4 linked regions of the Saccharomyces cerevisiae S288C genome follow. The protein of the gene in region 1 purifies or fractionates together with the protein of each later gene. This does not show direct contact. Each region holds a gene or a part of one and is shown on either strand. Other genes may lie near its edges.

Evidence for each region.
Region 2: the proteins of NGG1 (region 1) and SGF73 purify together in Saccharomyces cerevisiae (affinity purification with mass spectrometry; 6 studies listed by BioGRID, with this or other methods). This does not show direct contact.
Region 3: the proteins of NGG1 (region 1) and SPT3 purify together in Saccharomyces cerevisiae (affinity purification with western blotting; 6 studies listed by BioGRID, with this or other methods). This does not show direct contact.
Region 4: the proteins of NGG1 (region 1) and SGF11 purify together in Saccharomyces cerevisiae (affinity purification with mass spectrometry; 6 studies listed by BioGRID). This does not show direct contact.

Annotation. Positions count from the first base shown.
Region 1 is NC_001136.10:808,657-817,283, forward strand, and holds NGG1 (histone acetyltransferase NGG1), read left to right. Parts: upstream 1-5,795; coding exon 5,796-7,904; downstream 7,905-8,627. Other genes in the region: SUP35 (translation termination factor GTPase eRF3), read left to right, coding at 1-1,725; ARG82 (inositol polyphosphate multikinase), read right to left, coding at 1,909-2,976; HMO1 (Hmo1p), read left to right, coding at 3,454-4,194; mitochondrial 37S ribosomal protein mS35 RSM24, read right to left, coding at 4,537-5,496; E2 ubiquitin-conjugating protein UBC1, read left to right, coding at 8,222-8,627. UniProt on the Saccharomyces cerevisiae protein: Component of the transcription coactivator SAGA complex. SAGA acts as a general cofactor required for essentially all RNA polymerase II transcription. At the promoters, SAGA is required for transcription pre-initiation complex (PIC) recruitment.
Region 2 is NC_001139.9:374,174-382,740, forward strand, and holds SGF73 (deubiquitination module subunit SGF73), read left to right. Parts: upstream 1-3,435; coding exon 3,436-5,409; downstream 5,410-8,567. Other genes in the region: DNA-directed RNA polymerase II core subunit RPB9, read right to left, coding at 286-654; mitochondrial 54S ribosomal protein bL12m MNP1, read left to right, coding at 914-1,498; NPY1 (NAD(+) diphosphatase), read left to right, coding at 1,928-3,082; ALG2 (GDP-Man:Man(1)GlcNAc(2)-PP-dolichol alpha-1,3-mannosyltransferase), read right to left, coding at 5,587-7,098; MRH4 (ATP-dependent RNA helicase), read right to left, coding at 7,350-8,567. UniProt on the Saccharomyces cerevisiae protein: Component of the transcription coactivator SAGA complex. SAGA acts as a general cofactor required for essentially all RNA polymerase II transcription. At the promoters, SAGA is required for transcription pre-initiation complex (PIC) recruitment.
Region 3 is NC_001136.10:1,252,507-1,260,209, forward strand, and holds SPT3 (transcriptional regulator SPT3), read left to right. Parts: upstream 1-6,189; coding exon 6,190-7,203; downstream 7,204-7,703. Other genes in the region: GTPase-activating protein SAC7, read left to right, coding at 31-1,995; E1 ubiquitin-activating protein UBA2, read right to left, coding at 2,431-4,341; IAT4 (Iat4p), read right to left, coding at 4,852-5,550; SHE9 (She9p), read left to right, coding at 7,395-7,703. UniProt on the Saccharomyces cerevisiae protein: Component of the transcription coactivator SAGA complex. SAGA acts as a general cofactor required for essentially all RNA polymerase II transcription. At the promoters, SAGA is required for transcription pre-initiation complex (PIC) recruitment.
Region 4 is NC_001148.4:459,741-466,761, reverse strand, and holds SGF11 (SAGA histone acetyltransferase complex subunit SGF11), read right to left. Parts: upstream 801-7,021; coding exon 501-800; downstream 1-500. Other genes in the region: ELC1 (elongin C), read left to right, coding at 1-118; CAM1 (translation elongation factor EF1B gamma), read right to left, coding at 1,114-2,361; DIG1 (Dig1p), read left to right, coding at 2,923-4,281; mannosyltransferase complex subunit MNN9, read left to right, coding at 4,796-5,983; Arf family GTPase ARL3, read right to left, coding at 6,203-6,799. UniProt on the Saccharomyces cerevisiae protein: Component of the transcription coactivator SAGA complex. SAGA acts as a general cofactor required for essentially all RNA polymerase II transcription. At the promoters, SAGA is required for transcription pre-initiation complex (PIC) recruitment.

The sequences.
Region 1 (8,627 bases):
GGATATCAAGCTGGTTTCCAACCACAGTCTCAAGGTATGTCTTTGAACGACTTTCAAAAGCAACAAAAGCAGGCCGCTCCCAAACCAAAGAAGACTTTGAAGCTTGTCTCCAGTTCCGGTATCAAGTTGGCCAATGCTACCAAGAAGGTTGGCACAAAACCTGCCGAATCTGATAAGAAAGAGGAAGAGAAGTCTGCTGAAACCAAAGAACCAACTAAAGAGCCAACAAAGGTCGAAGAACCAGTTAAAAAGGAGGAGAAACCAGTCCAGACTGAAGAAAAGACGGAGGAAAAATCGGAACTTCCAAAGGTAGAAGACCTTAAAATCTCTGAATCAACACATAATACCAACAATGCCAATGTTACCAGTGCTGATGCCTTGATCAAGGAACAGGAAGAAGAAGTGGATGACGAAGTTGTTAACGATATGTTTGGTGGTAAAGATCACGTTTCTTTAATTTTCATGGGTCATGTTGATGCCGGTAAATCTACTATGGGTGGTAATCTACTATACTTGACTGGCTCTGTGGATAAGAGAACTATTGAGAAATATGAAAGAGAAGCCAAGGATGCAGGCAGACAAGGTTGGTACTTGTCATGGGTCATGGATACCAACAAAGAAGAAAGAAATGATGGTAAGACTATCGAAGTTGGTAAGGCCTACTTTGAAACTGAAAAAAGGCGTTATACCATATTGGATGCTCCTGGTCATAAAATGTACGTTTCCGAGATGATCGGTGGTGCTTCTCAAGCTGATGTTGGTGTTTTGGTCATTTCCGCCAGAAAGGGTGAGTACGAAACCGGTTTTGAGAGAGGTGGTCAAACTCGTGAACACGCCCTATTGGCCAAGACCCAAGGTGTTAATAAGATGGTTGTCGTCGTAAATAAGATGGATGACCCAACCGTTAACTGGTCTAAGGAACGTTACGACCAATGTGTGAGTAATGTCAGCAATTTCTTGAGAGCAATTGGTTACAACATTAAGACAGACGTTGTATTTATGCCAGTATCCGGCTACAGTGGTGCAAATTTGAAAGATCACGTAGATCCAAAAGAATGCCCATGGTACACCGGCCCAACTCTGTTAGAATATCTGGATACAATGAACCACGTCGACCGTCACATCAATGCTCCATTCATGTTGCCTATTGCCGCTAAGATGAAGGATCTAGGTACCATCGTTGAAGGTAAAATTGAATCCGGTCATATCAAAAAGGGTCAATCCACCCTACTGATGCCTAACAAAACCGCTGTGGAAATTCAAAATATTTACAACGAAACTGAAAATGAAGTTGATATGGCTATGTGTGGTGAGCAAGTTAAACTAAGAATCAAAGGTGTTGAAGAAGAAGACATTTCACCAGGTTTTGTACTAACATCGCCAAAGAACCCTATCAAGAGTGTTACCAAGTTTGTAGCTCAAATTGCTATTGTAGAATTAAAATCTATCATAGCAGCCGGTTTTTCATGTGTTATGCATGTTCATACAGCAATTGAAGAGGTACATATTGTTAAGTTATTGCACAAATTAGAAAAGGGTACCAACCGTAAGTCAAAGAAACCACCTGCTTTTGCTAAGAAGGGTATGAAGGTCATCGCTGTTTTAGAAACTGAAGCTCCAGTTTGTGTGGAAACTTACCAAGATTACCCTCAATTAGGTAGATTCACTTTGAGAGATCAAGGTACCACAATAGCAATTGGTAAAATTGTTAAAATTGCCGAGTAAATTTCTTGCAAACATAAGTAAATGCAAACACAATAATACCGATCATAAAGCATTTTCTTCTATATTAAAAAACAAGGTTTAATAAAGCTGTTATATATATATATATATATATAGACGTATAATTAGTTTAGTTCTTTTTGTACCATATACCATAAACAAGGTAAACTTCACCTCTCAATATATCTAGAATTTCATAAAAATATCTAGCAAGGTTTCAACTCCTTCAATCACGTTTTCATCATAACCCTTCCCCGGCGTTATTTCAGAATGTGCAAAATCTATTAGTGACATGGAACTCAAAGAACCAGTTGTTTTTTTGTCCTTTGGTCCTTCGCTGCTTCCCTCGGCATCATCATCATCATCATCATCATTATCATCATCGTCGTCATCATCGTCTATAAAATCATCTCGCATAAGTTTGTCAACATCATTTAGTAATTCCCATCGCTCCGGGTCTCCTTCGTAAATAAACAAAAGACTACTTGATATCATTCTAACTTCTTCTTCTAGCATAGTATTATAAAACAACTGCAATCTTTTCAAAAATGTTTTCTTCAGTTGATGCTTTCTCGCATCCGACAGATGAGGATTGTTAAAATAAAGTTCAATTGCATCTGAAACATTTTGATCGGTTCTTGAACGACCATACAATTTGTTTATAAAGATATAATCACTGTCTGCTTCTTCTTCGTAATATTCGAGCGAAAGCTGATTCAGCACAGAGGGATTTTTCTGTATTTTCATGCCACATATCCTGAAACCCAAAGATCCTGAAGTCGTCGTCTCACTGACTCTTTTCATTCTCTCTCTTTTTTCCAATGATGCCTTCGAATCATACAAAGTTTTGCCTAATTTTATATCAAGTATATTAGGTTTACTAAATCCATATAGTAGATTTTCTAAAACGAGGTATTGCTTGGACTTCTCAGACTTTACAGGTATTGAATCAAGATTATCAGTGGAATCACTTAACCGCTCATCTATCTTCAGAAGCGCAGCATCGCCACTTTGCTCGATTTTTGCCCCTTCATTCAAGACTCCAAGATACGTGGGCATCCAAGAGCACAAGGGAGCATCTCCATCAGCCGAAGACTTTCTTCGACTCACATCTCTCACTTGTATGGCTTTGTAGAATTCCAGTTCCTGCGGAAAGGCCGGTTTAAAGATGAGCAATCCATCACCGTCTGTTAGAGTACCGTCGTGGCCAGCAGCTTTATGCTCTAAAACCCTATAATTGTTTACCGTATCCATGTGAAAAAAATTTCTACTTAGGCACACGTATGCACATATCCATGTAAGCTACTAATGGAAATTGTTTAACTGATTACTGGTAAAAAAGGGATCTCCAATGGCTTTATCTTATTCCATTTTGTCCCACCATTTGTATACAGTATAAAGACATTTTGGTGAGATACTTAGTTACCCAGCCTACTTCTGAGAAATATTACCCGACTCGATTATCTACCAATTGGCTTCGAGAACGTGGTTTTTCACCATTTTTTTTCCCGCTTTTTTTTTTCATCCGACCGTTGTGGCGGAGAGAAGCTTCCGGAAGGGAATTCACTCAGATTCTCTCCAGTACCACGGGGGGCAACTCTGCCTGGAACACTCTCTTCCTTCAAGAACTTAGCAAGAAGTACCAATTAGTCCCAGCGGGCCCTCAGGGCTGGTCTACTGCCTTATACTCTAGGATGTACATCCTACCACACACAACAAGCCTGTCACACCATGACTACAGATCCTTCTGTCAAATTGAAGTCCGCCAAAGACTCCCTCGTCTCCTCCCTCTTCGAGTTATCAAAAGCTGCTAATCAGACAGCCTCCTCTATTGTTGATTTCTACAATGCCATCGGCGACGATGAAGAAGAGAAGATAGAGGCTTTCACCACTTTGACTGAGTCTTTGCAAACATTGACTTCTGGTGTAAACCACTTGCACGGCATCAGCTCGGAGCTGGTTAACCCTATTGATGATGATAAAGATGCTATTATCGCTGCTCCAGTCAAGGCTGTAAGAAGAAAGATCGAACGTGATCCAAATGCTCCAAAGAAGCCACTGACTGTTTTCTTTGCTTACTCTGCGTACGTTCGTCAAGAACTTCGTGAAGACAGACAAAAGGCTGGCTTGCCACCTTTATCCTCAACTGAGATTACTCAAGAAATCTCCAAGAAATGGAAGGAATTGAGTGATAACGAAAAAGAAAAATGGAAGCAGGCTTACAACGTCGAGTTGGAGAATTACCAAAGAGAGAAATCCAAATACTTAGAAGCAAAGAAAAACGGTACCCTACCACCAGCTTCCTTGGAAAACGGTCCAACTCATGCGCCGGTTCCAATTCCTTTCAGTTTACAGCACGCCGCTGAACCTCCTGTGGAAAAGAGACCTCACGATGATGATGGATCTTCGGAAAAGAAGAAGAAGAAGAAGAAGAAGGATAAGAAGAAGGACAAATCCAACTCTTCTATTTGATGGACGGACAAACTCGTTACTATTACTCTACTGTCTTTCTAAAATAAATATAATAATAAAAAAAGGAATAAAATATAGCAGCATGGGCTTGCTTTGCCCATAGTGTATGCACATATATATATATATATATGTATCTATCCCTCTCCTCTTGTAACAGTATATCTTCCTTTTCATTTTCGTTGTGTATATGTATGTATATAGTTCTAAATTTGCGATTATACCTTTTCAAACCTCTCAATGTTGTATTGTGCTAAAACTATGTACATTTTAGAGAAAAAGAAGGAAGCAAAACAAATACATAATATATACAGGGGGGCCGTTCTTTTTGTTTTTGAACATGTATTAAAGAGTGCTCAATAATTGATCTACAATATCAAATTTCTTCTTTGGTGCATCTTCAGGGCGTTTCCAGTGTTCAGGAAACTCATAATCCCGCTTCTTTTTACGTAAACTCTTAGCTATAGTATGCCTTGTGTCAAGGGGAACATCGCTAAAATCGTCCTCCGTCAAATCTTTTGACTCCGCTAACAGCCTTTGAAGAATATCATGCAAATAACGTGCATTTTGTGATGCATGCTCAAATTTGTCACTAGACATTTTAAAAATATCTGTAGTATGATCATAACGCGACCTGGCTAATATTCTGAACTTATGTAATGATTTTTCCTCCAGGCCCAATTCCTTGGTTTTAACGCTTAATACAACCTTCCTCGAATTGGGATGCTCTTCGCCAACATAACTAGTGTATCTATAAGTGACCGGATGACTTTCTGGAGATGGTCTCTTGTATTCCTGGCGATATTGAGCTAATAGCGGTAACTCATATGCGGCTAATCGATTATAGAACCTTTGTTCACGATGTTGGGCAACCAATTCCTGAGCTTGCGATGGCAATTCATCAAACATAAACGGTCTAAGACTGTTATCGCGATTCACGTTTCCACCTTTTATATCAATAGCGCCTTGTTCTCCTCTGTGATATAGCTTTTTAATATCGTTAACAGGTACATTTGAGTACTCAGAAGTGGTTAATAAGGCATTCAGTTCGTCTTTGTTAGGTTTATACTCTGAACCCAATCTAGCCATTCTCTCCCAATATAACTCTAAAATTCTTTGAGGAGGTAAACCCTTCCATTTTTCGGGATGCATATAGAGATCTGCTGAAAAAGCTGGTCCTTCTCTCACAGTTTTAGCTTCATTACCAGCATCACTGTTCAAACATCTAGACATTGTCAAAACCCTTTTCTGGGTGCTCCACAAATTACCCCGAGAGACTTTCCATAACCCCAATGGTACTTTCATCTTCCTAAGAATAGTATTTTAGTAGTGTCAAATGTTTCGGTAACTCTACTGCCTTGTTCACAGATCGAAATATACTCAGAATCAGTTACAGAAAAGGTCCCATTTAGCGTAATTTCTTAGCGGAACTCATTAAAGAGCTCCGACGTGCAACGCGATAAAGGTTCGCCGACGACAACAAAACAATGGCAGGCAGTCATTAAATGAACGCCATCAAATGAAATATTCGTGGTAGCGATTACAATAAGGAAGTTGGAAAAACATAACAAAGACGGAGCGACGAGAAGTATTGGACAGGACATATGCCTAGACATGGAAGAAGAGGAAAACTGCCAAAAGGCGAGAAACTTCCTAAAAAGGAGGGAGGCGACAATACTCCGTCAAAGCTTTTATCGTCAATGCTTAAAACTTTAGATTTGACCTTCGAGCGTGATATTGGAATGCTCAATGGCAAAAGTGTTAGGTCCATACCCAATAAAAAAACTTTACTTGAATTGCAAAGTCAATTGGATAGTCTCAATGAAATACTGGGTACAATTGCCCGAGGTGATCAAGAGACCATTGAAGCGCTTCGGAAAATAAGAGACAGTAAAAATGAGAAGCAAGCAAACGATGAAAAGCAGGAAACTTCAAATGCAGACGGGCAGCACGAAAGTTCTACTGCTACTGAAGAAACGAATATAATTGATAAAGGGGTACAAAGCCCACCAAAACCTCCTCCTTCTAATGAAATCTCCGGCACAATTGAGAACGATGTAGAAAGCATCAAACAAGCGGCTGATAATATGGCTAAAGAAGAAATTAATGAAGACAAAGATTTACAAGTTCATAGAGATCAACCCAGAGAAAAGAGGCCGTTCGATTCTGAAACTGAAAATAGGGCCACTGAAAATGAAAACACACAGAGGCCAGACAATAAGAAGCAAAAAATTGACGTTGACAAAATGGAAAACGATCCAACTGTTAAAAATCCAAAATCAGAATTTGTAGTATCGCAAACGTTACCTCGAGCAGCAGCAGCACTCGGCTTATTCAATGAAGAGGGACTAGAAAGTACAGGAGAAGACTTCCTAAAAAAAAAATACAATGTAGCTAGTTATCCAACAAATGATTTGAAAGATCTGTTACCAGGTGAATTACCGGATATGGACTTTTCGCATCCTAAACCAACCAACCAAATTCAATTCAATACCTTTCTAGCATTTGTGGAAAATTTTTTCAAAGATCTTAGTGATGACAACTTAAAGTTTTTGAAGATGAAATATATTATACCCGATAGCTTGCAATTTGACAAAACTTATGACCCTGAGGTAAACCCGTTTATTATACCGAAACTAGGCCCTTTATACACAGATGTTTGGTTCAAAGATGAAAACGACAAAAATTCTGCCTATAAAAAACCTTCACCATATTCAAACGATGCATCTACTATACTACCAAAAAAAAGTGCCAACGAACTTGATGATAATGCTTTGGAATCGGGCAGTATATCGTGTGGGCCCTTATTATCTAGGCTGTTGAGTGCTGTATTAAAAGATGACAATGACAAATCAGAATTGCAATCTTCTAAAATAATACGGGATGGCGGACTACCGAGAACCGGAGGGGAAGACGATATACAATCGTTTAGAAACAACAACAATGATACTGTAGACATGACATTATCTCAGGAGAACGGGCCCAGTGTTCAAACACCTGACAATGACATTGATGAGGAAGCATCTTTCCAAGCAAAACTGGCAGAAAATAAAGGCAGTAATGGCGGTACTACAAGTACGTTACCCCAACAAATTGGGTGGATAACAAATGGAATTAACCTGGACTATCCAACATTCGAAGAACGATTGAAAAGAGAACTAAAGTATGTAGGGATATACATGAATTTGCCTAAGGATGAGAACAACCCTAACTCAGATGACCCCGATTGGGTCACCGGTAGAGAAGACGACGAAATAAGCGCAGAGTTAAGAGAATTGCAAGGCACTTTAAAACAAGTGACCAAGAAAAACCAAAAGAGGAAAGCCCAATTGATTCCACTAGTGGAAAGACAACTAGCATGGCAGGAATACTCATCTATTTTAGAAGATTTAGACAAACAAATCGACCAGGCTTATGTCAAACGTATTCGCGTACCCAAGAAAAGAAAGAAGCATCATACAGCAGCTTCAAATAATGTGAACACAGGAACCACGTCTCAAATAGCACAACAAAAGGCTGCAAACTCAAGTTTAAAATCCCTTCTGGATAAAAGGCAAAGGTGGATTAATAAGATTGGTCCATTGTTTGATAAACCTGAAATTATGAAGAGAATCCCCAATGAAAGCGTATTCAAGGACATGGACCAAGAAGAAGATGAGGATGAAGCCGATGTATTTGCACAAAACACTAATAAGGACGTGGAACTAAATTAAAATATACGAACTCTAAGGAAAAATACGTAGCATAATAACGCATATAACTAACAATTTGGATAACTATCCATAAAAAAAAAAAAATAGTCACATAATACGAACATTAATATCCTTTTTTGTTACATTTTCTTCCATCTGAAATATTTGGAGGGGCAAAAACAATGAGATGACAGTTGAATGCATGAACTTCCGATCGCGGGCGTATAGGTAAAGTCAATTGAAGCAAGTGTGACGACATAAGTATCGTAATTTAGTGGTTGGATACATTAAAAAAAACAAGTGGTATATATATAAGTAGTAGTAGTAAGAAGTAAGCGATGTCTAGGGCTAAGAGAATTATGAAAGAAATCCAAGCTGTGAAGGATGATCCTGCAGCTCACATTACTCTTGAATTTGTGAGTGAATCTGATATCCACCATTTAAAAGGCACATTTTTGGGCCCACCTGGAACACCTTACGAGGGTGGCAAATTTGTCGTGGATATCGAAGTACCTATGGAGTATCCATTCAAACCACCAAAGATGCAGTTCGACACAAAAGTATACCATCCAAATATATCATCAGTGACAGGTGCCATTTGTTTAGATATTCTTAAGAATGCATGGTCGCCAGTGATAACACTAAAGTCTGCATTGATTTCGCTACAGGCGCTACTACAATCTCCAGAGCCTAACGATCCTCAAGATGCAGAAGTAGCACAACACTATTTACGGGATAGAGAAT
Region 2 (8,567 bases), on another chromosome or scaffold:
GCATCTATACAATTTTGACTTTTTAAAGAAGAAAAAGAAAACAATAGTATACATTCTTTTTTCTACTTTTGTTACAGATAAAAAATCGTTCTTATTATATTACATATATCGGTGCTAAGATCAGGATTTTTTCATGTTCCTTCCCCCTGTTATTTCACATCATCCTTTTGCCGGTAGATTAGGCTGGTGTAAATAGTAGTGCTTTTCTCATACATACAAGACATACGTGAAGATAAGTCCCATTTTCTCTCCCTCTGTCATTAATTTTGAAAGTTCGTTGAGCACTCATGAAAACTGCGTCCTTTTGTTTTTTTGATCTGAAGTAAATATGTGTGAGCAAGATAAGCACACAAAGAATAAAACCATCGAAGTATCCTTTCTTCTTTGTTGTGATTGAAAAAACACATTTTCCCGAGAGTGACATTTGGGACATTCTCTATCAGATCTCGGAAGAGTGGGATCGGAACCAATATCTTGCACCACTCCCGCAGTTTCACCAATGTTGGTAATCAATTCATGCCTGTAGACCAATGGACTGCCCGCTTCTTCTACATACGAGCATGTTCTGCATTCAAATAACAACCGGTTATTTTCTTTATCCTCACGAGGGTACAACATATTGTTGCAGTCACGACAAAATCTAAACGTAGTCATAGCAGTTTTAAGGGGAGTTTAACTTGCTCTTTTGGCTAGATTTTGTAACTTTCGTTCTACCTAGAATCTGCTCTTGTTCCATTTGACTTACTCTTTAACGCTATTCACCAAAACAAAATTTTTCAACTTACCCGCCCTATGTCTTGAAGTCCAATAAAACAACTCAAACTAATGGCAAACAAGAACTCGGTAAGTTCTGGAAGGAACAGGACAAGCAGCCCGTCAGCAGCAAACACAGTCAATTAAATAAGCGCCCAGTATGTCCTTACGTATACTAGCGAAGAGATCTTCTTCTATCTGGATGAAAACGCGCGTTACACCAGCGCTAATTTCTCCTATTACTATCACAACCCGTTTCAATTCTACGACTACAACAGCACCATCACATAAGGATGATGTAAGGCCAGTTGATCCTAAAATTTCTAAAATTGTACAGGACATTTCACAATTGACTCTTTTGGAAACTTCCAGTTTAATCAACGAGCTGAAAACCGTATTGAACATTCCAGAAATTTCCATGCCTATGGGCGGATTCATGGCAGGCGCTGCAGGCGCAGGTGCTGGTAATGTACCTAGCTCCACTGGTGAAGCTGGTAGTGGTGCTGAAGAAGAAGCTAAGCCTGAGGCAAAGACCGTGTTTACGGTGAAGTTGGACTCGTTCGACACGAAGACTAAGGCTAAAGTCATCAAGGAAGTCAAGGGATTATTGGGGCTTTCATTAGTTGAAGCTAAGAAATTCGTTGAAGCTGCACCAAAGGTCTTGAAAGAAAATGTCGCCAAGGATGATGCTGAAAAGATTAAGAAAACCTTGGAAGACTTAGGAGCTAAGGTCAGTTTAGAATGATTTTAAAACTGTAGCAATCTACCAATCGTGTTAATCAAAATAGTCTGTTTTCTCTTCGAGAAAATAAGGAATATATCATGTAAATATGTTTAACTCTTTATTCTTCTTTCGTCCTGCCTTTTATATATTTTGCCACATCGCTTCTTGCAAGTAGATGTATAAAAATGATTGATTTCCTTATTATTTTCTATAGTATCTTCAACTTCATTATGGCATTCGTTTTCGTGTTATAAGTATTTCAGACGGGCTAATCTATCACTTCATAAATCTACTTTTCCAACTTACAAAAGCGGTTGCTTTTCTTCGAAATATAAAGCCCACCAACCATAAGAATAAAGAACAAGAGCAGGAGCGAAACGAAAGAGAAGATAAAGATTGTACCTTTTTGCTCCTGATTTTTTTTTGATTACGCTACGGTTAGTTGAGAGAATGTCCACTGCTGTGACTTTTTTTGGCCAGCATGTCTTGAACAGAGTTTCGTTCTTAAGATGTTCGAAAGAGTTCATCAAAAAATCATTGAACCATGACTCTACCGTTTTTATCCCATTTATCGAAGGGGAAGCCCTCATTTCGCCCGAAAATGGTGACCTAGTTCAGCTTTCTAATTCTGTAAAGTCTTACAAGAATATTTTGTCAGCAATAGTTCCTTTATACACTACTTTATTGAACACAACTCGCTCAAGAAGCGATGAATCAGGCATCAATGTAACATTTTTAGGTCTCCTGGAAGGCACAGATTCTGCATTTAATTTTGAATGGTCTAATATTTCTTACAAAGGAACACCATATTTTGGATTAGATATCCGTGTTACTGAGAGCACACTCTTCAAGAAAGTCGACTTTGAGCCTATTTTTTCCTATCCGAAGGTGACCAGAGATCACATTTTCAAACAAACAAATGAGGATGCTTCACTTTATTCACAAGGTAAGATGTATCTGGATTGGCTAGCAAAGTACAAATTCTGTCCCGGTTGTGGGTCTCCGTTATTCCCAGTAGAGGCAGGAACTAAGCTTCAGTGTTCTAATGAAAATCGGAATGTATACTGTAATGTGAGAGATGCAAGAATTAATAACGTTTGCTTCCCAAGAACTGATCCAACGGTCATTATAGCCTTGACCAATTCGGATTACTCTAAGTGTTGTCTGGCAAGATCAAAAAAAAGGTACGGTGATTTTGTATTGTATTCAACAATAGCAGGTTTTATGGAGCCATCAGAAACCATAGAGGAGGCTTGTATCAGAGAAATATGGGAGGAAACAGGCATTTCATGCAAAAATATTGATATAGTCCGGTCACAGCCCTGGCCTTACCCTTGCAGTTTGATGATTGGCTGTTTAGGCATAGTTCAATTCAATTCCAAAAATGAGGTTATCAACCTGAATCATGACGACGAATTATTGGATGCTCAATGGTTTGATACAACTGAAATCATTCAAGCTTTGGATAAGTACGCCGGCGGGTATCGTGTTCCATTCAAAAATGATATCAATTTACCTGGAAGTACTACCATTGCCTTCCAATTAATCAATCATGTTTGCGAGAACTATAAAAACTTACGTAAGACCTCATCGAGCCATCTATAGTTTTTAATATAATAAACATTGATAAATAGGCGTGCTTCAGCATATGGATATTTTTCACTCAGTTACCCGAAGAAAACAGAGGTGCGTCATAATGCAAATGCTAAATGAATGAATATAGGATGTTAGATTGCTGGTACAAGCAATTTTGAAACAAAAATCATTACGAACAGAAGAAAGTGGAGCTGAAGAGCGTATATAGTTGTTCATAGCTGTAAAATAATTTCTAAATTACTATTTAGAACCTTTTTGATATCCAGCATCGCTCATTAGAGATTAATTTACCAAAACGGAATAAACCAAAAAAATAAGAATAGTGAACACACAAGAGAAGCGCAAAAGAGTAAAGAGCTAAAATGAGGTCAGGCGATGCAGAGATTAAAGGAATTAAGCCCAAAGTTATTGAGGAATATTCTTTATCTCAGGGAAGTGGTCCTTCCAACGATTCATGGAAAAGTTTAATGTCGTCCGCGAAGGACACTCCTTTGCAGTATGATCACATGAATCGCGAAAGTCTAAAAAAATACTTCAATCCGAATGCACAACTCATTGAAGATCCTTTGGATAAACCGATTCAGTATAGAGTGTGCGAAAAATGTGGGAAACCCTTAGCTTTGACAGCAATTGTAGACCACTTAGAAAACCATTGTGCGGGAGCATCTGGAAAAAGTAGCACAGATCCAAGAGATGAGAGTACTAGGGAAACGATACGAAATGGAGTAGAATCAACTGGGAGAAATAATAACGACGATGACAATAGCAATGATAATAACAATGATGATGATGATGATGACGATAACGACGACAACGAAGATGATGATGACGCTGATGATGACGACGATAATTCCAATGGTGCCAATTACAAGAAGAATGACTCTTCTTTTAACCCTTTGAAAAGATCCACATCTATGGAATCTGCGAACACACCAAATATGGACACGAAAAGATCGAAAACTGGGACTCCTCAAACCTTCAGCTCTTCCATAAAAAAACAAAAGAAAGTCAAACAAAGAAACCCAACTGAAAAGCATTTAATTGATTTCAACAAACAGTGTGGTGTAGAGTTGCCGGAAGGTGGTTACTGTGCACGTTCGCTGACATGTAAGTCCCATTCAATGGGTGCAAAGAGGGCTGTCTCTGGTCGTTCCAAGCCCTACGACGTCTTGCTAGCAGATTATCATAGAGAACATCAAACAAAAATTGGTGCAGCTGCTGAGAAACGTGCTAAGCAACAAGAATTACAAAAATTACAAAAGCAGATACAAAAAGAGCAGAAAAAACATACTCAGCAACAGAAACAAGGTCAAAGGTCTAAGCAAAGAAATGTGAATGGTGGGAAATCAGCCAAAAATGGTGGTAAGAGTACTGTACACAATGGTAACAATATCAATGAGATAGGACACGTTAACCTAACTCCTGAAGAGGAAACAACACAGGTTCTAAATGGGGTATCCCGATCTTTCCCACTGCCACTAGAGTCAACGGTACTATCGTCAGTTAGATACAGGACTAAATATTTTAGAATGAGGGAAATGTTTGCTTCCTCCTTTTCTGTGAAACCAGGATATACATCTCCAGGTTACGGTGCGATCCATTCTCGTGTAGGATGCTTGGATTTGGATAGAACAACAGATTACAAATTTCGTGTTAGGACTCCACAGCCAATTAATCACCTCACAAACCAAAACCTCAATCCGAAACAAATACAAAGACTACAACAACAGAGAGCTCTACAGGCTCAGCTTCTTTCTCAACAACAGCAACAGCAGCAACAGCAGCAGCAACATCACTCACCCCAAGCGCAGGCCCAGGCCAGTACCCAACAACCTACTCAAGGTATGGTGCCCAATCATTTCCCCGGCGGGGCAACGAATTCATCATTTAATGCCAATGTGTCGAGCAAGCAAATTCAGCAGCAGCAGCAGCAGCAGCAGCACAAGTCTCAAGACACAGGTCTCACGCCGCTGGAGATACAATCACAACAACAAAAACTACGACAACAACAACTACAACAACAGAAGTTTGAAGCTGCTGCTTCATATTTAGCCAACGCTACCAAATTAATGCAAGAATCAAATCAAGATAGCCATTTATCTGGCACCCACAACAATAATAGTAGTAAAAACGGTAACAATAACCTCATGACGATGAAAGCCTCCATAAGCTCTCCCAATACTAGCGTAAATAGTATCCAATCTCCCCCTAGTGTCAACAGCGTCAATGGCTCCGGGCAAGGTGTATCTACCGGTATTAATGTCTCTGGCAATAACGGGAGAATTGAAGTAGGTATTGGAAATTCTGTGAACCCCTACAATGGCAGAATAAATTAATTGAATCATGCACGTTATCCAGCATGTTCACGAAGTGAGTAATAAAAAATTATTCGCCGAAGTAACATGTACACGTCTATGTTTGTGGACAAGTTACGCTATTTGCATTTAGAGATTTCTTCTCCAATGTAAATTATTTTTTCTTCGGGGGGTATACATTATTTATTTAAGTAGACATTATATTTCTTCATAAGGGTAGGAGAGAGCGAATACAAATGCCCAGTAAATTCCCCATAAGTAGTTCTTAAAATATAATACCATAAAAGTGGCCATAAATAGGAAGGGCCATGGATTATTGGGTAGAATTTTTATAAATGCCATATGCAAAATAAAATTAGAGAATGAAATACCGAATATTTCCCAAGGATAATACTTTTTTTCTTTCCATATGACTTTCTCGACGTTTTCTTCAAATGACTGAGTCATTGCTTCCCTAGAAAAGTATTTCTTGACTCTTAGCGGGCCATTCCTCTCAAAGTTCACAGAACCGTTCTGCAAGATCTTTCTGCTTTCATCAATTGCAGTAGCCCATTGAATAGGGACGGCAGGTTTTAGCCACCCAGTGGCAGAACTTTCATTTTCACCAGCAACGTAAGATTTGATAGTCTCCAAAGGACCTCCATTGTTTACTGCTAGTACAGGCTTACCTAATTTCATGGCTTCTAAAGGAACAATACCAAAGTGCTCATATGCTGGTGTATACAATAACATTTCGGTTCTTTCGAGCAGTAATTCTTTCAGAGATGATGAAATGGAAGTTAAAAATATAATTTTACTATTATTGGTTTTGAATGACTCTAAATCGGAGACGCGCTTTATTTCTTGGTAGTATATGGTTGTATGGGATAATTCGTATTCATCGGCCAGAGACTGTAGTTCCTTCAAGTACTCCACATTTTCTGCAACCCTCTCGTCATAACCACCGCAAATAACTAACTTAACGTTGTCATTGATTTGATCTTCAGATAACGCAAAAGCCTTTATAGCCAGCGCAACATCCTTTTTTTTCTCAAAACGATTTATACTTAGGTAAAATCTATCGCCTTCGTTAAACACTGTTTTGAAAAATTTCTTGTCAATATCTTCAATTTCGATTGTTGATAAATCCACGCATGGATAAATGACGTCTGGATCATTGGATAAATACTTGAACGTTTGGTGGAACGTATTCTTAGTGAAATTTGAATTTACCACAACAGTATCGGCAGCACTCACGGAAAACTGTTCTATTAAGTCAAATGGTAGTCTGTATATTTTCTTCAATAGCCCAGCTCTTTGAGCCAATAATTGGTCGGGGAAATGACAATAAAACATCAAAGTGGCAGAACTAAAGATATGCAGAAGCGGAATACATGTAGACAGTTGATCAATGATAATTAATTGGTACGCATTCACTTTTTTCTGTAGGATCAATTGAATAACTAAATAAAGCTGTCTAATTGTTGCGAAAACAATAAAAAAACGACCCAAAAAGTTTGTCGGTAAAAAATCACCATAAACTTCGACTTTTAATTGGCCGTTTTTAACTTCTTCGAAACAATGTGATTTATCACAGTGACTAGTATAGATGATTACACTATGTCCTTGTTGCTGTAGACCTAATGCTGCATCGACGACTAACCTTTCAGCGCCCCCAATACCTAGGTCTGGATGAATAAAAGCAATCGTTCTTTTATCCTTTTCAATCATTTTTGCTTGTCTAATCGACTCTTTTTTATCTGTCTTTACTACTGTATCTATTTCGTGACTTCTTAAATGGCGAACGTAATCTTTTGATGTTAAAATGAATACATCATTTATTTTGTTGTTCGCGCGTTCATCTAGCCAGGCACTTGTTTATAAAAAAAGAAGCTATACGCAAGGCTCTCGATCTATAAATTGTATCTGTGATTGTGACCCTTTCGTATATATGTTATAATATTTACAAGAATATACATTTATCATGATAATCTCTGGTGCTTTTTGATGATCTTTGGAAGAGCTTTAGCCCAAGATTTTGTTTTACTGTCAGTTAGCATAAATACGCGGCCGCCCTGTTTCATTCTAGCAGTTCTGCCCACTCGGTGTATCAGGTCTATTGACGTTTTGGGTACATCGTAGAGAACAACATTCCGTACACCTTTGAAATTGAGCCCTCTTGCCATGAGGTCGGTGGTTACGAGTACATGCAAAGACTTGTTACTGGGTGCGGTACCATTAGAATTTGTGTTTTTCAATTTGCCGATGACGATGTTGGAATCAGGAATTTCAAATTTCTTCAAGGAAGTGGGAGGTGAAGTACTCTGAGCAACCACCTCCGAAAGTGGTCGCGGTGGTGATAAAAAGGGCATAATTTTCTCGGATCTTTCTTCAAATGTATCTTCACCAGTTAAACCGATGGCATTATGACCGAATTTCTTATTCAATAGGTTAACAATTTCAGGAACATTCTTTTTTTCGTTAACAAAGATAATGCATCTTTTCTCGAACCCTGGTTCCGTGTCATCATTTGAAATAGCATATAAAGTTTGTGCCAATGCTTTGATCTTGGATCCCTTGAAAGGACTTAAGGCAGAATTTATAACTTTAAAGTCCAAAGCGAATGGTAACTTATGCAGTCTGGGTGTCATTATAGGAACCACTGTAGGAAATAGTCTTTGCATTGTTTTATTAAACTCTTGAGGAATAGTAGCGGAACAGAAAATAAGGTGATTAATGTTAGGAATTCTCTTTATTGCGGAGTGCGTTTCTTCAAGCCATGACCTATCTAGAAGTGTGTCAGCTTCATCTAGTACTACGAAACCCACTTTGGACAAGACTTTATCAGGTCTAGTTATCATTCTTATGGAGAACAGGTTCAGTAGTTTTCCCGGAGTAGTGACTAAAATATCTATTCTATTTTTAATGTTCTCTAATAAATCACGATATGATGTGGCCTTGTCCCACTTGAAAGAGTTTAAGCCTAACAAGGTTTTCGTCTTGGAAACAGTTTCGTATACTTGGTCAACCAATTCATGCGTAGGCACCAGTATGATGGACCGAATCAGAACGTTTTTTCTTAATGTTTCCCATAATTCGGGAGTTTCCAACTCCTGTCTTTTCAAATAGTCTATTAAAGGTATCAAGTAGGCCATGGTCTTACCTGAACCTGTCTCAGCGGCAATCGCATGTATTTGTAA
Region 3 (7,703 bases), 440 kb from region 1:
CCACTAAGATAAACTAAAAATATCTTTATAATGCCAAATAATACTCTTAAACAAGGCTCCAAAATTGAAAATGTTTCTCCCTCTAAAGGTCATGTCCCAAGTTTTTGGAAGCAGTTCATAAACAACCCTAAGAGTATGTCATCCGAAAATATTACAGTCCCTAGATCACCAACTTCTCTTTCAAGGAATGCTCAACCAACTACTTTAAAACGGCCTCCATTATCTTCAAGACCATATTCATATAATACCCCAACCAAAGATAGGAAATCCTTTTCCAAATCCGCGAAACAGAACAATAACAATAACAACGCTAATTCCGGAACATCGCCTCACGCAGAGTTCAAAAATTACAGAGATATGTTTTTATCTAATAGAAATGGTTTCACAGGTAGGGTTTTCGGTGTTACTTTAGCAGAATCGTTGAGCGTCGCCAGTGCAGAGGTCATTGTTCAAAGTGAGTTGGTGAGTTTTGGTCGGATACCCATCGTGGTAGCCAAGTGCGGCGCATACTTAAAAGCAAATGGATTGGAGACCTCGGGTATATTTCGTATAGCGGGCAATGGTAAAAGAGTAAAAGCCCTTCAATACATATTCTCGTCGCCACCTGATTATGGTACCAAATTCAACGATTGGGAAACATATACAGTGCACGATGTTGCATCGCTCCTGAGGAGATACCTTAATAATTTGGCCGAACCACTAATACCTTTATCCCTATATGAACAATTCAGAAACCCGCTACGATCTAGACCAAGAATCCTAAGGCATATGTTGACCCACGAAGTTTCTCATCCGAATGCGAATAAAACAAATAATGTAACAGTAAAATCAAGTAGACAGAACTATAATGATGATGGTGCTAATGATGGTGACATCGAAAAGGAGGACGCTAAAGATGATGAAGAAAAAAGACGAAGAAAAATACGTCATAAGAGAAGGCTGACCCGCGATATAAGGGCAGCTATCAAGGAATATGAAGAGCTCTTTGTTACCTTATCAAATGACACGAAACAGCTAACTATATACCTACTCGATTTACTGAGTCTTTTTGCAAGGCAATCACAGTTTAACCTAATGTCTGGTAGAAACTTGGCGGCCATCTTCCAACCTTCAATATTATCGCATCCTCAACATGATATGGACCCCAAAGAATACGAGTTATCCCGACTAGTAGTGGAATTTTTGATTGAATACTCGTACAAGCTATTACCCCATCTTTTGAAGTTGGCTAAAAGGGAACAACAGGAACGGTTGTCAACCGAAAATAAGAAAAATAATGGAGATAAACAGAAAACTGATCCTATAGAAATACCAAAGATCACCTCATCGGATTCGCCACCAATAGTTTCTTCCAATAAAAACCCACCGGCGATTGACAATAACAATAAACTAGACCATACGACGTTATCGCCAATATCTACTTCGATACCGGAGAACTCATCAGACCTACAGACTTCAAAAATGTTAAAGCCTCCGAAGCAAAGAAGACCACACTCAAAATCGTTTGGTTCTACTCCGGTTCCTCCGGATGTTATTGCTAGTAATAAAAGAAGAACGAGTTTATTCCCGTGGTTACATAAACCGGGAATTTTGAGTGACACAGGAGACAATGGCGACTTAACTGCTACTGAAGCTGAAGGTGATGATTATGAAGAAGAAAATGTTGATCCATACGGTCAGTCTCCATCTAGCGTACACTCAGGTTCTTTGCCCAAACAGCATTATCTGCCAATTCCTCGAATGAACAGATCGTTGAGTGGAAACAGTACCAATTCGTCCTTTAACACTAGACCTATTTCAATGATCCTGACCAGTGGTAATGATAATTCCGCTGATCAATTAGAATTACTAAGTAACACTCATAGCAATAATGAGCGCAGTAATGCTTTACCATTAACCGAAGATGATGGGGATGAAAGAAATTCAAGATCACGCAAGAGGGAATCATGGTTTCAAAGACTAACAAGCCGTTCAGGCTCTGCTAACAGGGCTTGATAACACCATTTTTCTTTCCTTTTAATTTCCTCATTTTTTTTTTTTTCGTTATTTCCCTTAAAAACCTGTTGGCGGTTTTCTTTCTTTTTCTTTGCCTTCTGTATAAATAACAAATAAACATCATTCCCCTTTCAAGATTTATAACCATAAAGGGAACATATATAACATAAATCATGAAGAGGACAAATTACGGACAATTATTCTGTAGCGATGCTAATCAGTATAAAATAAAAGAATAAAAATTCTTAAGTTGTTAATATGCCAGAGAAATGTTACAGCTTGTAACTCTTCAATAATGAATTTCTATGTTATATGACTGGCTGTTTCATATAAGCTATAACAGGGATCATGATCATTAAGCATTTTCTCTGCAACATTTATGTCGTACACTGCGAACCACGATTAAATAAATATATAGATACCTTTTCTTATTTATTAGTCTAATTCAACAATATCAGAATTAGTCGGTTCATTAACTAACTTTGTCCTTTTGTTACTGGGCGCCTCAGAAATCTCAGTATCAACTGGCCTCTTCTTTGAACCATTGATCGGTTCAGCATCGATGGTGATCTCACCTTCATCGTCGTCTAATATCACGATACCATCTTTCCCATGACTGTTCGTAGTTGCGACTACATCTGCACCCTTTTCATTTTTTTCTTCTTCTTCATTTTTTGAAGGACTATTGTTGGCCTTTATTAATGGGACTTCAACGTCCGGTAAGCTGCAAGTATTACATGGGAGTTCATCATCAACATCAAGAAATAATTCTATGGCTTTGCGGATCATTGTATCACCTTCTTCGTCGGAGAATAATATTATAGAACCATTTCCAAGATTAATCTCCGATAAAGTACGATCGTTCAAATCCTCGAAATCGTAATCAAATAGTAACCTTTGATTACTTGCGTCCAGGAGCGAAATATCCTGTGGATATGAGTACTTCTCGCGTATTAAAACTACAAAATCACTTAGTTTCATTTTGTTCAAACAATCGCTGGATAACTTAATAACACCTCTACAAACTTTAGAGCAAACTGGGCAATTTTTATTTGGAGGGGCTAGTTTCGGATTTGATAAATAACGATTTTGGGATAGATTGCTTGCCTTTGCTGTGAAAGCCATATTCAAATCAGTATACTTAGTAGTTGGGGCATATTTCAAAAGATTTAAAACGCGCAGTGAAATCAATGACGATGCACCGGCAACGATAGCATTCGTTGTTGCAATAGCCGGGATAATGTTACCAGCAATTTGCTTGATGTCAAATACGGACTTCATTGGAATATTGAATATGTGTGACCTTATGTTCGCAGCAGTTGCGACGAATTCCAAAGTATCAGCATCATCTTTATCAAATTCAATATGATTTTGCTCTTTGGGATAGCGATCCATTAATTTTTGTGTAATATTAATGAAATTACTAATTTGCTCCTGTATTGTGCCAACAGAATTAGAGGCAGACTGAGCTGTTTTAGTAGGAGTATTTATTTGAGAGTCTGATAATGGTACTGGCTTTGTTCTCGTTTTCCATAAATTTTCAATGGCTAGCAGTTTATTTATATCCTGAATGAATAATTTATTAAGAATCTCTGGAATACGGGATGCATCTCTTGATATGATAATTTTTTGCAATTCATACAATTCATTAGTTTCTTGTTTAATGCGCTTAATTTCTTCAGCATCATCTGTACCCCAATCCTGGTTGTTATCATCTTCATTTCCAGAGGTCTCTGACGCAAATAGCTGGTTAAATAGAAAGTTTTTCGCCCAAACAATGCAATGAATTGGCTGAGAAGGAGTGGACCTGATAGTACACACAGGAAAAGTCTTTGGTGTTTCCTTCTTTGTACATTCAAAACACTCAGTTTTCCCGGGGATAATAGGCTGCATGTATCCATCAAATCCAGCTGTTCCAGATTCTATTAAGGGCAGTGATAGAAACTGTGATATTTTATTGACATACCGTCTTGCGGCCAAGTTATCAAGAGCATTGAAGATAATGTCAAATTGCTCAAACCAATGCAGTGGGAAGGTAGAAATGTCCATAACATTTCCTTGGTAAGGCACTAACTTAGAGTTATTGAAATGCTGTACTGCTTTTACGGCTGTGGTAGACTTCGGTTGTTTAATATCTTTTTGTCTAAAAAGAAATTGCCTGTTTAAGTTCGAAAGGTCAATGGTGTCCAAATCGACAATATGTATTTCACCAAATTCCATCAAGATTATATCCTTTAACAATTCAGACCCTATGCCCCCAGCACCGACCAGAAGACATCTTGAGGACCGTAATTTCTTGTAACTATCTTCACCGATGATTGTTACCAAACTTGTTTCCCTTGGCATTTTCTTTTCTTGTTTGGCGTAGCGCTCCTGATCTTGTGTGTCTGTTGAAGTACGCAATTAGTGGATTGCTCATCCAAATATCTTGATTTAGCGTAAACATACTTCGCCTTTGAAAAACTTTAACTTGAAAATAGAGTATAAAAAAAAATTGCACAAAAAATGCGGAAGCCGGGAATCGAACCCGGGCCCCATGCTTGGGAAGCATGAATTCTAACCACTGAACCACTTTCGCTAAGAAGATCTAGCTTACATAGGTTTTGTGGTAATATAAATTCTTGAGACCGTAACCGCGCAAAGAAATACCTAAAATAGTAATTGCTAACTACATCTAAAAACAGACTGAAGCTCACTAGATATGAGACTTTTCTCACATCTTCAAAATAAAGAAAACAATAGCAGGCGAAATTTTTTTGAACCTGGTTATACAGTGCATGCTCCAAAATGTCGTCTTTAAACACTACTTTTTATTCTAAATAATTACTTGAAGGGGGGAAAGAAAAAGCTCAAAAACTACTCTTTTAAGACTTTATTACCGTCCTTATGATATATCATTAAATAGGCTGTGAACCCTTCACCATTCGGATCGCAATTGCCGTTAGAGTCGACCTCACACTCACCGTATTTGAACGTCATGTAATTTCTAAATCCAAAATATTCGTACACAGATTTAGCATGCTCGGCAATAGCTTCAAGGACAATGGCGCAATTTTCTTCGTCTGCTCTCCTTTTGTACTCTTCAAAAATAGTCCTTACAGAACCTCTGATTCCTTTCTCATTTAAGTTCTTACCAATACAGAAAAGATAGTAGTAATTGATGCCATTTGGAATGACTTGCTTTACGCGAGCATTTAAATCGTCAATAAAGTCCTTGTTGAACTTTGCATCATTACTCCTTGCCTTCGGAACGTGAGGTGGAAGACTCCACACTGCAACAGCATCGAAAGTATTAACTTCGGAGATCTCACCATAAGGTGAATCCAGGAATGGCGATATGATATCGGTGGTTATTGTCCTTGTAGGCACCTTCTCAGCTAGAGGAATATTTAAGATTTTCTTGCAGATAAAATGAAACGCTGGCGAGTTACTAAAAGCAATAGACAAAGTCTCTGCTGCTCTTCTGGCATCCGTAGTCTTGTTCAGGGTACAGACCATATGGCCCTTAGCATCGTTGTTTTCTAATGGAGTTGGCAGTTTGTTCTCGAAGGACATGATGTTCGGTTACATGTCTTAGAATTATTTTCTCGAGATTAGTGAGTGACTTGGCATAATATCAGGTACAATAACTGTTATATATACGCCGGCGGCATTTCATTTTTTTCACTTATCTCAGCCCCTGGGACTCTGATGCCGTTCACACCAACGTCTGCTGTGATTTGGAGTGAAATATCTGGATACTAATAGAAATATTACGATAAAAAAGAGTTATCTACAGTTTGCTGCATTATTTTTGCGTTATCGGTCAATCAACTTTAAGAGATCACCGTACATTTCCGGCAGCATTAGCGGGCGTCTCTTAGTTTCTTTGCAATACAGTAGGAACTCCAATTTTTTGTTCGTCTCCTCGCTACATTCAGATTCAACTGCAATCTCGAAAACAAGTTTTTTATGCCGCCAAAATAGGTATACATTGCGTTCAATGCATTCTCATTCATCTCTATCGCAAGAACGTCTTGTTCAAAGCTGCCCTTTCTTGAGGCTTCAAGCGCAGCGCACAGAAAAGAAGAAAATCCGAACCATGTAATATAGATCGGCGGAAACGAAAAGTAAAAAGTAAGGTTGAAGACACTCTGAACCCGGGGAAGAGTGCATACAAGGTACCGTGCCAAAATTCAAGAGATTAGGGCAGGAATGATGGACAAGCATAAGTATCGTGTGGAGATTCAACAGATGATGTTTGTCTCTGGTGAAATTAACGACCCACCCGTAGAAACCACATCACTGATAGAAGATATAGTGAGGGGTCAAGTGATAGAAATTCTTTTACAGTCAAACAAAACGGCGCATCTTAGGGGAAGTAGGAGCATTCTCCCTGAAGACGTCATTTTCTTGATCAGACACGACAAGGCCAAAGTCAATCGTTTGAGAACATATCTGTCATGGAAGGATTTGCGTAAAAACGCCAAGGACCAAGATGCTAGTGCCGGTGTAGCGAGTGGCACTGGAAATCCTGGGGCAGGTGGTGAAGATGATTTGAAAAAAGCAGGTGGTGGCGAGAAAGACGAAAAAGATGGTGGAAACATGATGAAGGTCAAGAAATCCCAAATTAAGCTGCCATGGGAATTGCAGTTTATGTTCAATGAACATCCTTTAGAAAATAATGACGACAATGATGATATGGATGAGGATGAACGAGAAGCTAATATAGTCACTTTGAAAAGGCTGAAAATGGCTGACGATAGAACACGAAACATGACTAAAGAGGAGTACGTGCATTGGTCCGATTGTCGACAGGCAAGTTTTACATTTAGGAAGAATAAAAGGTTCAAGGACTGGTCTGGAATTTCGCAATTAACTGAGGGGAAACCCCATGATGATGTGATTGATATACTGGGGTTTCTAACTTTTGAGATTGTCTGTTCTTTGACGGAAACAGCTCTGAAAATCAAACAAAGAGAACAGGTATTACAGACTCAAAAGGACAAATCCCAGCAATCTAGCCAAGATAATACTAACTTTGAATTTGCATCATCCACATTACATAGAAAGAAAAGATTATTTGATGGACCTGAAAATGTTATAAACCCGCTCAAACCAAGGCATATAGAGGAAGCCTGGAGAGTACTACAAACAATTGACATGAGGCATAGGGCTTTGACCAACTTTAAAGGTGGTAGACTCAGTTCTAAACCAATTATCATGTAAATTTTTGTATAATTTCATCATGGAGGTGCATGGGTTTCCTTCTGGTATGATAAATGTGAGCCAAATGAATTGAAAAATACAAATAAAGATTATGTACGTAGATACGCGTTATAAAGAGGACTATCTGATCATTGGGGTCTTTTTCGTTGTGAAATTGTAACGGGTGAACTCAGTGATTAAAAAATTGCGTGATGTTGAGATACTATGGGGCGACAAGAAACTTACCCTTAGTATTCAGCATTAACAAATTAATGTTGAGGGCGTCATCTTTCACCAGGCCATTTCATTATAGTTCATATTCTCTACAGAACGGTGATACTCCTGATAAAGGCAGCACTAATAAAAATGAAATACGGACACCTAATAACGCTGTTTGGAAAGAAAATATAGAACTTCAATGGCAGCACTTGAAAAAGAAATTAAATGAATTGTATTCTAGGTTTAACTTCCACCGAGATCAATTATCCTTTCAAGTTAACAAGGCCAAAAAATCAATTCAA
Region 4 (7,021 bases), on another chromosome or scaffold:
AAATTATAATTTGAAGTACAGCGGCGTTAGCGAGGACGATGATGAGATTCCAGAGTTTGAAATACCGACAGAAATGTCGTTAGAGCTGCTACTTGCGGCGGACTATTTGAGTATATAGGTACAGGAAAAACAAAAAAGAGTTAGGAACTCTTTCAAAAAATTATATTATATGGGTGTGATGTTGCAGCATATTACTCTGATATGTAGAAAATTGAATGCATTGTTATAGCGTACTTATGTGTAACCCTTCCACATAACGGAATGCAAGGTATCATTTGGCATCATATATGGGAGGTGCTATTATAAAAACATGTAGTTAATAGCTAAAACAGTTTTCGCCTTCTCTCTTTGAGATGTTACCACATAACTACATGAACTTCTATGTGCAGATATGCCGCATAAAATGTAAGAATCTTGCTTTTTTTATGAACCTATGCCCACAAGAAATGGGCTAAAATCTGTCTGTGCCTTTTCAATTACCCATAAACCACCACCTAGTGTCAACGTCTAGCACCCCTACTCAAACATCTCTGTAAATGAGCTGCTAGTCTGTTTGCGGACACATCCCTGCCACAATTCTCACAGTGAATATACTGAGAGGACTCTTGTTGCTTCTGTAGTCCATTAATATCGAGAGATCCGTTCGGGTCGAAATAATAACTGCGAAGATCCGGATATCTTGTCTTCAGCAATTGTTGTTGAGTGGTTTCCCGAGCTACAATGTCCTGGATCAATGTGGTTAACAGGTTATTCAGTATCCCATTTGAAATAGAATCTATAGTAATAGTTTCTTCGGTCATCGCAACAGGAAAACCCCGTAACCTAAAGAATTTGAAGGATTATTATACTGCTCTGCTCAACGGAAGAAACGCTAAGTTACTTCTTCGATTCCTCAGAATCAAGAAAATAAGCAAATCACTGCTATACATATAATACATGCATCTATTATATAACAATAATCCAAGATACGAAAAGGAAAACTTGATTTTTTTTCTGCGGAAGTTTCAGAGCAGAAAAACTCTGTTACCCTATATTGCGTCATAAATAAGATATAGATAAAACTACCTAGCATACTTTATAATAAAAGGCGACATGAAGGATAGTACGAAGAGATTATTTTAAGACCTTACCGTCAACAATTTCCTTTGGTTCGCCATTGACGGAAACTGGCTTATCCCAGGCCCACATGTTATTGATGAATTCTTTGTCGTCGTCGTTAGTTGGATCCAACTTTGCATAGTCGTAAGATTCCCAATCTGGTGCGACATCGAAAGCTGGAACGTAATCTTGGCCCCTAACCATAACTGCACCAACAATACCGTTGTTGTTGTTTTCACCGTAGACTACCAGACAACCGAACATGTACTTGGTAGAGGCGGACAATCTGTTGAAGAAACCACCGACCAAGTTGTTGGACATGAAAGTCAAAGTCAATTCATCGTTGTACTTGTAGGTGACTTTCCACAGGGAATACTCTTCTGGGTTGTAGTGCTCCCAAAACCAAGGTAAAGCAACTGGTCTGGTGTCTTCATTGGAGTACTTTCTCTTCCAGTCATCCAAAACGAAAGTTGACTTGCCCAATAATTCTAATGGGTGCTTTGGTTTCTTGGAAGAAGTTTCAGTTTCGGTAGCAGCTGGCTTGGCTTCCTCCTTCTTCTTCGAAGCGGCGGGAGCGGCGGCTGGGGCCTTCTTTTCCTTCTTCTTTTGAGGGGGACTCAATGGCTTGTCAGCGAACTTGAAATCCTTGTATTCATCCTTCAAGAAGGGTGAGGCTCTAACGGTGTTGAACCATCTCACGATGGCTGGATGTTGAGCTCTCCATTCAGTACCGAACAGGCTTTCAAAGTATCTGGTGAAAATCGAGGCAGCCACCAAGTCGGCCAAGGAGATGTTTTCCGTAGCCAAATAGGTGTAGTTTTTCAATCTGTTCTCGAAGATGTCGACGATCTTGTCAACAGCGTCCATCGCAGAATCAACGCTCTTCTTGTTGTAGGGGGCGCCGCCCTTCAAGGGAACGATGGTGTTGGCAATCTGGATGCACAGATCACTGTTGGCCAAAGATTGCCATCTGATGATTTGCGCTTGGGCATTTAAGTCATCGTCGGCACCTAAAAGTTGAGTCTTCATCTTGTCGTCCTGTGAAAGCTTTACTAAATAATAGTTAATCGCCATTGCCTCGGTTAGCTTGTAACCCTTTGGACCCACGAAAGCCGGAACCTTCTTCAAGGGAAAGTCCCTTGCGAACTGTTCAGCGGCGGCATCTGGCGTAACAACCTTAACGTCCAGCTTCAAAGCCTTGACAAGACCTCTTGGGACCCAAGTTCTAATTCTGAAGTTAGCATATAAAGTACCTTGAGACATGGCGTGCAAAAACTGTATCTGATCTTGAGTTTCTATGTTCTGTATGCTCTAATAACAGAAAATACAATAACAAGGAGGGAAGACCAATTTGCGGGCTGCCAAGCAACACAACCAAACCCTGCTGATAAACGAAAACAAGAAAACTAATAAAAAAATAAATAAGGAACTCTACAAGGACTACACTAATCATGTCTCACTCCCGCGGATTGAAAAAACGAAAGAAAAAAACAGGAATCAACGCCCAACGACCTGCAGCAGCAAGCGTGAGAAATTCCCCGAGTGGGTCACCGCGAGCGGAAGATGAAACAAGCAGCAGTCGGCTTGCACAGGCCTTGCATGTATGCGTTGGTGGGCCTTGGGCTTTACTTATAAGCAGCTGCTTCGCCACTTGATACGGTTGTTCTTTACATCTGTTTCTCGCTGGGGGAAGTTTATTAGGTTTAGTTTTTCCGCTTTGTGCTTTGCGTTTTTTTAGCTTATACAGAAGAAACGCACTTAAAAAGAATCAAATCAGTAACAAATTTTGGTATTGTTTCTCAAAGAAGAAAATAGAAAGTGAGAATGGCCGTATCAGCCCGTTTGAGAACGACTGCCGAGGATACATCCATTGCTAAATCAACACAAGATCCAATTGGTGATACAGAAATCAGTGTAGCAAATGCTAAGGGCAGCAGCGATAGCAACATTAAGAATTCGCCAGGCGGAAACAGCGTTGGTCAGGAGTCGGAGCTAGAGCATGTCCCTGAGGAGGATGACTCTGGTGACAAGGAAGCAGATCATGAGGATTCTGAGACAGCCACTGCGAAGAAGAGGAAAGCCCAACCATTGAAGAATCCGAAGAAATCATTGAAGAGGGGCAGAGTCCCGGCGCCTTTGAATTTATCGGATAGCAACACTAATACACACGGTGGTAATATTAAGGACGGCAACTTGGCTTCGTCTAACTCTGCACATTTTCCTCCTGTTGCTAATCAAAACGTGAAAAGCGCGCCCGCACAAGTTACTCAGCATTCCAAGTTCCAGCCCCGTGTCCAATACTTGGGAAAGGCCAGTTCTAGACAATCTATACAAGTGAATAATAGCAGCAATAGTTATGGGAAACCACACATGCCCTCGGCGGGCATCATGAGCGCCATGAACCCTTACATGCCCATGAATCGCTACATAATGTCACCATATTATAATCCGTACGGTATCCCTCCACCTCACATGCTGAACAAGCCCATAATGACACCCTACGTGTCGTATCCATATCCAATGGGACCGCGGACCTCCATTCCTTATGCTATGCAAGGTGGCAACGCTAGGCCCTACGAAGAAAATGAGTATAGTGCTAGCAATTACAGAAACAAGAGGGTTAACGACTCATATGATTCGCCTTTGAGTGGCACCGCTTCCACTGGGAAAACCAGACGATCCGAGGAAGGCTCAAGAAATTCTAGCGTAGGATCAAGTGCGAATGCCGGTCCTACGCAACAGCGCGCGGATCTACGCCCAGCAGATATGATACCTGCTGAAGAATACCACTTTGAACGGGATGCATTACTCTCGGCCAACACGAAAGCCAGAAGCGCAAGCACAAGCACAAGTACAAGCACAAGCACAAACCGGGACAGGAGTTCATGGCATGAGGCAGAACCCAATAAAGACGAAGAAGAGGGTACGGACTTGGCCATCGAGGACGGAGCGGTCCCCACTCCCACTTTTACTACGTTCCAGCGGACCTCGCAGCCGCAGCAGCAATCACCTAGTCTTCTTCAAGGCGAAATCCGACTCTCATCGCATATTTTTGCCTTCGAGTTCCCCCTGAGCTCTAGCAATGTAGACAAGAAAATGTTTATGAGCATATGTAATAAAGTATGGAATGAATCAAAGGAGCTGACAAAAAAATCATCATCACATCACAGAACCGGAAAATAGTAGCCACACAGGCACTTATAAACTTACATACACTCGCATACACTCACCTACTCACACACGCACTCACACACACACTCTCACTCGCACACCAAGGACAATTCAGTACATACACAATTTTTATATAAGTTTGATAAACTAAAAGATGAGGGTGAGTATTCACCTTATTAATAGTTACAGCCTTTATCGTCACTAGACACGACAGCATTGGTTTGTCTTTTTTTTTTTTTTTTTTTTTTCCTTTCCATCGTTGTAGCGGATTTGGCGTTGAAGTATTTTGATATAAGTAAAACAGAACACCAAATCAAGAATAATAAAGGAGGAAAAGTCGTCAACCAAGCGGATTCTCAATTGGTAGAAAAGCTTTTATTATTTTCTGTTAGCCGCTCTTGGGACCCGTTATTTCTGAACCTATTTTTCCTTCCGCACTTTGTGAAAGTAAGAAGAGAATAGCATCAATTTTAGTATTTTTCAAACAGAAGAATTTAAAAGAGCTAGAATAAAAAGTTAGGAAACAATGTCACTTTCTCTTGTATCGTACCGCCTAAGAAAGAACCCGTGGGTTAACATTTTTCTACCTGTTTTGGCCATATTTCTAATATATATAATTTTTTTCCAGAGAGATCAATCTCTGTTGGGACTTAATGGCCAGTCCATTTCCCAACACAAATGGGCACACGAAAAGGAAAACACATTTTATTTTCCCTTCACCAAGAAATACAAAATGCCAAAGTACTCTTATAAGAAAAAAAGCGGCTGGTTGTTCAACGATCACGTGGAAGATATTATCCCAGAAGGTCATATTGCACATTATGATTTGAACAAATTGCACTCTACGTCAGAAGCAGCTGTCAATAAGGAGCATATTTTGATATTGACTCCAATGCAAACATTTCATCAACAATACTGGGACAATTTGCTGCAGCTAAATTACCCTCGGGAATTGATTGAATTGGGGTTCATTACACCAAGAACAGCCACTGGTGACTTGGCCTTAAAGAAATTGGAGAATGCTATTAAAAAGGTTCAAACGGACAAGAAAACTCAAAGATTTAGTAAAATTACTATTTTGCGACAGAATTCCCAGAGTTTTGATAAGTTGATGGAGAAGGAAAGACACGCTTTAGATGTTCAAAAGGAAAGACGTGCAGCAATGGCTTTGGCGCGCAATGAATTACTATTCTCCACCATAGGACCTCACACTTCTTGGGTGCTGTGGCTAGATGCCGATATTATAGAGACACCACCATCTTTAATTCAAGACATGACCAAACACAACAAAGCTATCTTAGCTGCAAACATTTATCAAAGATTTTACGATGAAGAGAAGAAGCAACCATCAATCAGACCATACGATTTCAACAACTGGCAAGAAAGTGACACCGGTTTAGAAATAGCCTCTCAGATGGGTGATGACGAGATTATTGTCGAGGGTTATGCAGAAATTGCCACTTATAGGCCATTAATGGCTCATTTCTACGATGCTAATGGCGTACCAGGTGAAGAGATGGCGCTGGATGGTGTTGGTGGAGGCTGTACTTTGGTCAAAGCAGAAGTTCACAGAGACGGTGCCATGTTCCCTAATTTCCCATTTTATCACTTGATTGAAACAGAAGGTTTTGCTAAGATGGCGAAGAGATTAAACTACGATGTATTTGGCTTACCAAACTATTTGGTTTATCACATAGAGGAAGAGAACCATTGAGCAACTGAGCAAAAAGCATACAGAAGCTATAGCGTTATTGAAAGATAATATTGTTGCGATTATTAGTTGAAAATAAACAAAACAAGATATATATTCATATATATATATATATAATTTACACATGTATATTAAAAAATGCCGAATAAAAAGTGCTACAACAACTAATTTCTGAGCTTGAGAATAAACCATTCACATTTTATTTCTTTTGGTGCTTCTTTATCATTTATAAATCGGTGGTCTTGACTTTTTATTCCTTTCTAGTCTAACAATCATCCATTCTATAGCGTCTTTAACACCTTCTCCAGTCAATGCGCTTATTGGTAAAACCCTACTATCTCTAGCGCTTATATGTTCCGCAATCTTATTAAATACTTCTTTTATATCTTGTACTTCCATTCTATCTTGTCTATCTTGTTTATTGGCCAGCATCAAGATGGGTACACCTTCAATTTCTTCATCCATTACAACTGACTGTAGGGTCGTGGAACATTCGTCTAATCGTTCTCTATCTGAACTATCCACAATGAAAATTATACCATGACATAGGGAATAGTATTCGGACCACATTGATCTCAGTGATTCTTGACCACCTACATCCCAAAACTTCAAGATCTGTTTACTGTCAACGGGTATTGTCGCCACATTTTGTCCTACCGTAGGCTGTATCTTTTCCAAGGCTTTGAACGCCAGAGAGTATTCCTTTTTCAATGTCTCCAAGAACGTCGTTTTGCCTGCATTGTCTAGACCTAATATTAGAATTGAATATTGTTCCTTTTTATTCCAATTATTGTAAAGTCCCTTGACTAAATGAAACATGTGTGCGGTGCGCTTTATATGCTTTATTCTCCTTCATCTACTTGATTAACACATCGATCTGAATTCGTTTTTTAATTTTCCGTTTACATTTGTCTGAAAAAGGTGTAAACATATTTCTTATACTAACACTCCCATAAAGTTCAAAGTAGAAAATAGGAGGTGGGGGAGGATACGTACATATGCAAGCTACATTGACGTATCTGCTCTTAAACATAAAATAAA